Linked DNA regions of Coturnix japonica. The protein of the gene in region 2 purifies or fractionates together with the protein of the main gene of each other region. This does not show direct contact. Links are inferred from orthologs where the notes say so. Each region holds a gene or a part of one and is shown on either strand. Other genes may lie near its edges.

Evidence for each region. The genes of interacting proteins can lie anywhere in the genome.
Region 1: the proteins of SHCBP1 (region 2) and RACGAP1 purify together in Homo sapiens (affinity purification with mass spectrometry; 8 studies listed by BioGRID and IntAct, counting the BioPlex papers as one, with this or other methods). This does not show direct contact. The link is inferred for Coturnix japonica from reciprocal best matches to the Homo sapiens genes SHCBP1 and RACGAP1.

Annotation. Positions count from the first base shown.
Region 1 is NC_029544.1:383,558-387,874, forward strand, and holds the start of RACGAP1 (rac GTPase-activating protein 1), read left to right. Parts: upstream 1-1,441; 5' UTR 1,442-1,537; intron 1,538-1,803; 5' UTR 1,804-1,807; coding exon 1,808-1,892; intron 1,893-2,313; coding exon 2,314-2,516; intron 2,517-2,843; coding exon 2,844-2,980; intron 2,981-3,182; coding exon 3,183-3,252; intron 3,253-3,460; coding exon 3,461-3,514; intron 3,515-3,795; coding exon 3,796-3,873; intron 3,874-4,006; coding exon 4,007-4,124; intron 4,125-4,305; coding exon 4,306-4,317.
Region 2 is NC_029526.1:6,660,391-6,664,740, reverse strand, and holds the start of SHCBP1 (SHC SH2 domain-binding protein 1), read right to left. Parts: upstream 2,824-4,350; 5' UTR 2,759-2,823; coding exon 2,617-2,758; intron 2,278-2,616; coding exon 2,107-2,277; intron 1,685-2,106; coding exon 1,569-1,684; intron 274-1,568; coding exon 65-273; intron 1-64. UniProt on the Homo sapiens protein: May play a role in signaling pathways governing cellular proliferation, cell growth and differentiation. May be a component of a novel signaling pathway downstream of Shc. Acts as a positive regulator of FGF signaling in neural progenitor cells.

The sequences.
Region 1 (4,317 bases), on a different chromosome or scaffold from region 2:
TAAATCGTTGGGTTTTGGTTTGTGTTTTTAGTTGTATTAAAGGCTTGCAAATGGGAGGAGGAATGAAATGAGGCTTTGCCTTTTGGCTTGTGGGTCTGTTGGCTCAAATAGAAGACAAAAGGCCACGGCATCATTCTTCTCAAGGGACAACACTGAACCAAAGGCCTTCTGGAAAGCTTTTGTTATCTGAAATAGCTTTGGGGCACATTGAATGCCTGATGTCACCAATGCACAGGGGACTCGGAACCCTGCCATGCTTTGTGTCATTGGTTTAGCACAGTTACAGCCAGGGCTTGGCCTGAGAATAGCATTTCTTCCCCCAAAATACCCCTGTGCTGCCAATGGCTGCGTTCAGGGTTAATGCAGAAGGAGCAGCCCTTGGGTTGGGGGTCCAGGCCCCACCGCCATCCCTGCCTGCTCTGTTGCTAAGCAACAAGGGCTGGAAGCAACTGCCAATAGTAAACATGGCGCCTAGCCGACTTCACCATCTGTCAAACCCGGAAATCAGAGGAAGGGAAAAAGCTTTGCCCTTAGCAGACATGGCGCCAATTTGGCTTCAGACACACGGCGAGCAGAACCAATCAGAAACCAGAAGGGTGGAGAGCGCCCTGTGATTGGCCGGCGGCAGGGATTCAAACCGAATCGCGGGGCAGTTGAAGCCGGCTGTTGGAGTGGGAGCTCGGAGCGGGTGAGTGCGCGGGGGGAAGCCGGGTTGGGGAGGGGTCTAAGGGGCTTCGATATGGGATTGGGGGGCATCAGCAGGGTCCTGGGCTGAGGGAGGTGGTCTGCAGGGCCCTGATCTTGAGCTGAGGAGGCTCGGTGGGGCCCTATTGCCGGGCAGCCTCCCGGTGTGTGTGGCGCGGGGTAGGCCCGAGGCCTGTTACCTCAGGGCAGGCCCGAGGCCTGTTACCTCAGGGCAGGCCCGAGGCCTGTTACCTCAGGGCAGGCCCGAGGCCTGTTACCTCAGGGCTGTCCCACCCGTTGTGCCCTATGAAGAGGCTGTGAGGGCTCCATATGGAGCTGTGGGTGTATTGAGGTGCTGGGGAGTGAGACACAGGGCTATGGAGTGTCCTCAGAGCTTTGCTTTTCCATGCAGAAAACCCCAATGTGTGTGGGGTTATAACCAAGCATTGTAACAGGGCGTTGTGCCCCTCCTGGTGCCACTCCCAGCCATCCTTCACAGCCGCCCCTTCACCTGGAGCTCATTCATTAACCAAGCCTGTCCTGAGTGCCCCCTTCTGTATTAAAGAACTGCGTTCTGTGCTGCTGAGCTCGAGGCTTTCCTCTTGGCTGCTCCTGTTTATGCCGTTGTTTTCGCTGTTTGAGGGATTTGTGCTGACTGCCTGCATTTCCAAGGCCGTTTGCAGCAGGAGCTGTAACTTAAAGTGGAGCTAAATATAAAACGGCATTGAAATTCCCCCTGAATGCTGCTTCTATTTTTACCTCGTGTTGCTCTGAATGCTTACAGATTTCTGGTGGCCTATATAGCACCGGAGTGGGCCCGAGCCACGTCCTGCAGCCTGGCAGAAGGAAAATGGTTTGTGATCCCTCCTCTGTAGTAAACTGGAGGCTGTTTGGGAAGCTGTGCTGCTCTAATACTAAATTCTGGAGGGCTGAGTGCCTTTGCCCCCTAAGAATTTAGATGCACATCTCTTCATAAAGCCTAACATCTTTTTTTTGTGTGTGTGCAGCTGCTACATCTTGCCTAAAGAAAAGAGAATTCTGAAGCAAATTCTCTCTTTTTTGGGGCTGGTAATGCATTTTTCATTTGGAGGTGTTGATTTAGTTCTGTTTTCTTGGCAGGAGGATGGATACCACAATGAGGAACCTGTGGAATTTGTGTGACCAACTCATACGCCAGGCTGAAGTTTTAAGCGAGGGGAATGAATGCCGTAAGTTTTGAGACATCAAGCAGCATCTGTGTGTTTATATTCTTGCAGCAAGCATTGCTAGCTGTTATTGAAGGATCTGTTGATGAGGTCTTGAGTAATAACACTCTTCCAGGCAGCCAGATTTGAAGGTTGTTTCTTTTTCCTGTTGTTGAGAAATAGGGAGTCATAGGGTGAAAGCAAGTTGCCTTTGTCAGGGTCTCACATGAGGTATCTGCTGCTTGATGCTGCTGCTGAGACTTGGTCTGCAAAGGTGGTGACATCTTGGGAACATCCAGAGTGTAGTGGGGTTTGCTGCAAGGCCAGCTTCTCCATGTTTCAATTAATAGAGATTTTAATTAATTAATTATTAGAAGTCTGCCCTCAATTATAGGAGAGCTGTTGCATCTCCTCTCTTAATCTGAGTGATGTATCTTTTCTCCAGAATTTATTCAGCTGGCGAAGAACTTTGAAGACTATCGAAGGAAGTGGCAGAAAACTGAGCAGGAGCTTGGAAGATACAAAGACCTGCTGATGAAAAGTGAAGCTGAACGTAGTGCTTTGGACGTGAAGCTGAAACATGCGCGCAATCAAGTGGATGTAGAGATCAAACGCAGGCAAAAAGCTGAAGCAGACTGTGACAGGCTGGTGAGTGTTTCTTTTATTACTGGTTAGCTCTAGTTGATGTGGAGAGAAGGTGGTTAAACTGCAATTAACCGGGGGGGGGGGGGTGTGGAAACAATAGGGGGAATAAAAACAAGTCAGTGATGGGTTGATCTGGCTCCTTGTAATGGCCTTCTGCTTTTGTCTGGAAGGCGAAGGGCTGCTGTTTCAGAGCCTGGGCTTTGCAGATATCAGCAGCTTGAGTGCTGGACTTGCTCTTAGCAATTTGTGAGAGCCTATCTGTGTGGTATCTCAAATACCTGAGATTGGTTCATGTAATTAAACGGCTTCTGATATTATCTTTCTTTTCAGGAGAGGCAAATACAACTGATTCGAGAGCTGCTCATGTGTGATGCATCTGGGAGCATTCAGCTAAGTGAAGAACAGAAGTCTGCCCTTGCCTTCCTTAACAAACCACAGGTTTCTGTAGGAGGTTCAGGCAACAAGAGGTAGGCAGAATGGTTTTGTCTGAACAGCATAAGTGACAGCTACTGGTCTGCCTGCGTGTGTCTGAGATACATGTTGCATCCATATCAACAGTTTTACTTTTATTCCAGTTTGAAATAGAGCTCTTTTGCCTAAGGTTGCTTTGGGACCACAGCTGCCTGAAAGCCAAACTGATGCATGCTTCTTCTAATTCTTGGTTTTTAGACTGTCTACAATAGATGAATCTGGCTCAATTCTGTCAGACATCAGCTTTGACAAGACTGATGATTCACTGGTAATGTAATTCCAAGTTCTAAACTATGAAATCTTAAACCTGCGGGGTAATCTCTAGAGACCTCTTGTGTTTAGATTACTGTGGTATTAAATTGGTAGAGCTGATCTGCATATCTCTGCTGTGCTATTGGGTAAAACGTAATGGAGGTGTGGACCAGAGGTGGTGTGGTGTTTACGCTGAGCTAACCAGTGCTGCATGTTTTCCACAGGACTGGGATTCCTCTGCAGTGAAAACTGTCAGACTGAAGAGGAGAGAGAAGAGGGTATGTTCAATTCTTTCCCTTCACATAGATACTGTTGTTAGCATTAACTGGTGTCACCTGTGATGGGTAGGTGCTAGTCACAAAACCTTGATGGATGTGATTCAGACTTGCTGTGTAGATTTGGTGTGAAAGTTATTTCTGATACTGTTTTTCCACAGGGCATAATGAGTGGAGTTTCAGGTATCTTGTTATGAACTTGAGTCTGCAAGAGAGTGGTTAAAATACATCACTAAGTTAATAGTATTACCTGCCTTTTAGACTAAAATACTGTGTCTTTTCAGCGCTCTTCCAGGCAGCATGCTGAAGGCCCACCAGCTCCTGAGAAGAAAATCAGATCAATTGGCTCCACAGCAGACCAGGTATAGTGATCCCAGCTGGCTGTGTGTGTGTTTAAAGCAGTTGGCCACAGTGCACACCTGCTTCCAGGGCCAACAGACTTAAATCCTTGTCCTGTCAGCATTGCTGTCACCAACAACACACTTCTTGCTACAGGGAAATGAATCCATAGTGGCAAAGACGACTTTCATGGTTCCCAGTGATGGTGGTCCTATTGAAGCCATCTCTACCATTCAGACTGTGCCCTACAGCCTGAGAAGCCAGAGAAAGAGTGGTAGGTGTCAGCTTGTTGTCCTAAATCAGTGCTTAGCAGGCTGGAGGGTGTCCTGTCATTGTAATTTCCTATGCTCCACCACTTAAGCTGCTGCCTCTGATTTGTAGTGCATGTTGTCTGGAGCACGGAATGCACTAGGGTACGGTTCCCATCTAGACAATGCTCCTCTTCTGTTTTCTAGGTCCTTTGCAGC
Region 2 (4,350 bases):
CACATTAGATACAACCAGAGTGCAATTGCTCAAGACAAGAATTAGCCCCAAAGCAGTTTCCTACCTGACATGCTCCACAGCTAGCGCCGTCTGATCAAACTCCCCCGACTCATCATACACAACCCACAGCTCCTGCAGTGATATCCGACGCTCCTTCAGCTCCAAGAGTTCCTGCATGCATTCCAGTGTAAAGGTGCTAACCTGTGACTCGAATAGGAAAGGCTCACAGAGCTGCACAACTGCCTTCAGAGCTGAGAACTCCACATCAACAACCTGTTAGAATGAACAGCCCTTAGAATTTCTGCACACAGAATCATAGATACAGCTGAGGAAGGCGAGCATGATGTGCACAACCCAGCAGACCTCGCTAAGTGCCAGCTGACACACGGTACATATTACAACAAAGGCAATCTGGTCAAAATGATCATCCTAGAAATAAACTCCTAAAAAAACAAAAATTTGGAGTCATCTCTTTGACATTCAAAACTAGGCTCAAATCCTCCAACAACAACAAGAGCTATAGTTACTATCAAAGTCAATTAGACAGAAAAATGTTAATGATAAGAAGAACTTAGAAGTGACCACAGCCTGGTATTTGTAAAGACTGTACCTCAGTAGCCAGCTCTGGACAATGCACTTATTCCTTCTGTGCCCACCAGGCTTAACCTCACAGCACACCCATGCTGACTTGGACTCCTCCTCCTCATTTCAAGGATCCCTGTGAGAATGTTGCTTCCTTTCAAGCACAGTTCTCCCAGGAAACATTCAGACACTTGAGAGGATCTCTGAAACTTGGGTGTGTTTTTGCTACAGTCTTCACACAGGGGCGTTACACAGGCTCTATATTGCCACTCTGGGGTTTAATATCATTTACCCAGCTCTTGAAAAGCTCAAGAAAAGGTAATTGATTATTCTCTGCTCTAGCACACAGATGACATAAATGCTGTACAAACATTTTGGTTTAGCACCAATAAACTTATCCTACAAATAGCAATCATGCTCTATATGCTCTGCTAAGAATTCAAAGTCCAGAAAACCTTTGTGGAACTAGGTGCAGCTTATTCTCAAGATACCAACACCAGTTTATTCACAATTGTATCTCAAAGAAAACGAAATTCAACTGTCCCACTGAAATGCTGTAGTTTAAAAGCAGAAGTAAACTTTAAGTAGTAGACAGCTAAATTCCAGGGTTAAATTATGTGATAAAGCAAAAAAATAGAAAGCCTACCTAGTGCTTAATTTATTGGAGTTGTGATGTGCTGTAGCCCTGAAGAGCTTATTCTGAGCAGCAGTGCCTCACTGCCATAACAGTCCCTCATGCAAATATCAGACCACAGGTTCCAACCTCATGCTTTTAGGCAAAAAAAGCACAACCAGTGTACAAAAATAGTGTTAAGTACTCTTTTGAAAGAAATTCCTATTGCTTTACTCCTCAATGGAAATTACATAGAAAAAACATATTAATTTCTAGCAGTTCATAAACCTCATAGATAAGTGATCTGCCCGTTATAGAGGCAAACAGTGTTGGTGGGAGGCAAATTGAGCCTGAACAACCACATCCCATTTACCTCAACGAGGACCTCAAACACGTCAGTGCGCCAAACAGCCTGCCATCCCGACCGCTCTAGGACCTTCTCCAGGTACTCAGCTGTGAATTCTTTCACCTCAGAAGCTTTGCAGTCAGCTAGAATAAAATGGAAGGCACTACATTTATGCAAGAAAGGAATGAGAAGCCATCAGCAGAAAATGAAAAGAATCAAAGGTTTCAGTGGCAGCGCTGCTGGGTCTGTGCCATATCTCAAGGAGTCTCATTACATACAGGAAGGTTCTAATAACACCAGGTAAAACCAAGCACAGAGCCCAGCATTAGCACTTCTTCCATTCAGATATTCACATCTTATTTACCCACGTTAAAGCTGTTACCTCCTGGGCCCATCAGCCTGATCAGATGAGGTGACAGCGTGACAGCCCAGCAGTGATGACTTACATACACCATGTACGTTCCAGTCCTTGCTATTAAGAGTGCTTCAGATGCAACCGACTCCACTTAGAGCAAAAGCCTTAAGAAACACAGCCACGTATTCTTTCCCTGCTAAAACCACTTACCCAAAATGTAATCCTGGTAAGCTTTAAATCGCTCATAAAACAAAAGATGATCGGTGCAAAAAGTATCAGGGAAAAGCACGTTCCCATCTGGTACCGCCCTGCTCAGGGCACTGCCCGGCTTGTCCCGGCTCCCATAATCGCTGCAGGTGTCCTCATCCTCCTGGGTGGGAGCTGTGGGAGGAGTGGGAACAAAGCACAGCCCACAGGTCGTCACATCCATACAATCACTGCTCTTCTATTCCCAAACAACTCCTGTCCGGCCCGAAATCCATCACACTCCTGCTTTCCATAACACATCTCACAGCGTGCCACAAAAACGCTGCAATTCATAAAGTCGTAATTATGAAGCGACTTTAACCATCGAATACTACTCGAGAAGCACAACCAGAGGTGCCCGGAATGCCGTGCCAGCGCCACACAGCACCTCAAATCCCAATTCCTTCCCGCACAGCCACGTTCTGTAGCTGCAGTAGCCGCAGCTCCGCGGTTCGCAGTGGGTGCGGGCCCTACCTGGCTTCGGCTCCTCGGCGCAATTCCGCGGCACAGCGGCGCTCCCGCACAGCAGCCCCCGCCCGGTCACACCGGCCATATCGCCCATATTGGCCATACTGCCCATATTGGCCATATCGCCCATACAGTCCATACCGGCCATACTCCTCTCTGCCTCCCGCACAAATTCAAACTGGCCGCGGTGCCGCCCCGCACGTCACGGGCATTGCCCGCCTCCATTGGCTGCCGGGCGGTCGGGCCGTTGCGCTGTGGGGCGGTCCCAGGTTCTGGGCCCATTGGGAGGAACCGGGGCTGAGGAACCGTAGCGCTTGGACACAGCACGAGGCGGATGGGTTGTTTTTTAAGCCACAATTGCTTTAAAACACGAACAACCACAAGAGGGCCGCCTTAGACCTCAAACATCATCGTTAACCTGCTCATCATTAACCAAATGTCAGCCTTCAAACTTAAAATACAAGAAGTATTGAGAGATCAAACTGTATTATTACATGAAATAGAAAACAAAAAGTGAGTTGCTATAAGGCCAGTCATTCTGAAAGTGTCTATCAGGGATGTGTGGAGTAAGTGGTTGAGACGAGCCAGCACATTCACACTGATAGGAAAGAAACAATAAAAAAGGCACAAAAGTGAAAAATATCTGCCTCAGGTACCATTCTTTGCAGTGAGAAGCCTGCATCCATCTCTGCTCTTGACACAAATTCCTTCTGTTACCATGGCAATAATTTAATCTCCTTAGGCTCCCATTTGTCCATCATAAAATGTAGACAGTATTTTTTTACTGCATGTGAATGATTAACTCATTTGTAAACCACTCTGATATCGTGCCGTGTAACTGCAGGCTGCTGTTAATTATTTGGGTTATTAGCAATAAAGTATGTTCTTTGACAGGTATTTCATCATTGCAAGCCTAAAGAAATCGAATCTAACCAGAAAAACAATTGAACTTGTGCAAACCTTTATAGCTTCATTGTTTCATCCCCACATCAAGTCAAATCCAATTGATGGGCTTTTTTAAAGAACTACTTTGGAGCTTCACATATGAGCTCTCTCTTCATCCAAATGTCTGTATCTATCAAAGATGGAGCCATATCACTGTAACCAACATACCTCTGAAAGTCAGAAAAATCAGATCTTGAAATCATTTGCTTCCATTACTGCTTGACTCCATTAGCAGAGGATGCTTTCTGAAGTGCTTTTTCTACTCTAATTTAAGCAGTTTTCAGGATACCCTCAACACTGGCTTCTTCAGAAATGTGCCTCGTGGACCTCAAATTGGTCCAACAAACACCTTATTTCTTATAACTACAATAACAGCATTACAGATACGGATTGTTGTGTTTATGGCACCTCTTCTCACAATCCACCTGAGGAGATTCAAGATTTATGCTGCATTGTCTGCTGCGTATTGACTTTCCCTTAACCACAAACATGCCTGACATTGCATCACAATTGCTGCAGATGCAGAACACAACAAATCATTGGGCACAATCATAGCGGGAAGAGGGCAGCTTGAAAAGAATGCAAATTGCTTGCAGCGTTTATTTTGTGCAATCATTGCACCTCCTCATTCACTGCAAACAAAGCAAAATAAAATGCAAAATGCAGATGCAAAGGAATGCAGCTGTTGGTGATGGGATATTATGTTGTTGTGATCAACTCTTCATTTCAGTTCAGACTTTGAACATGGCTGTTTAGAAATTATTCTCCCATGATTTTGTTGTATTTCAAGAGCTT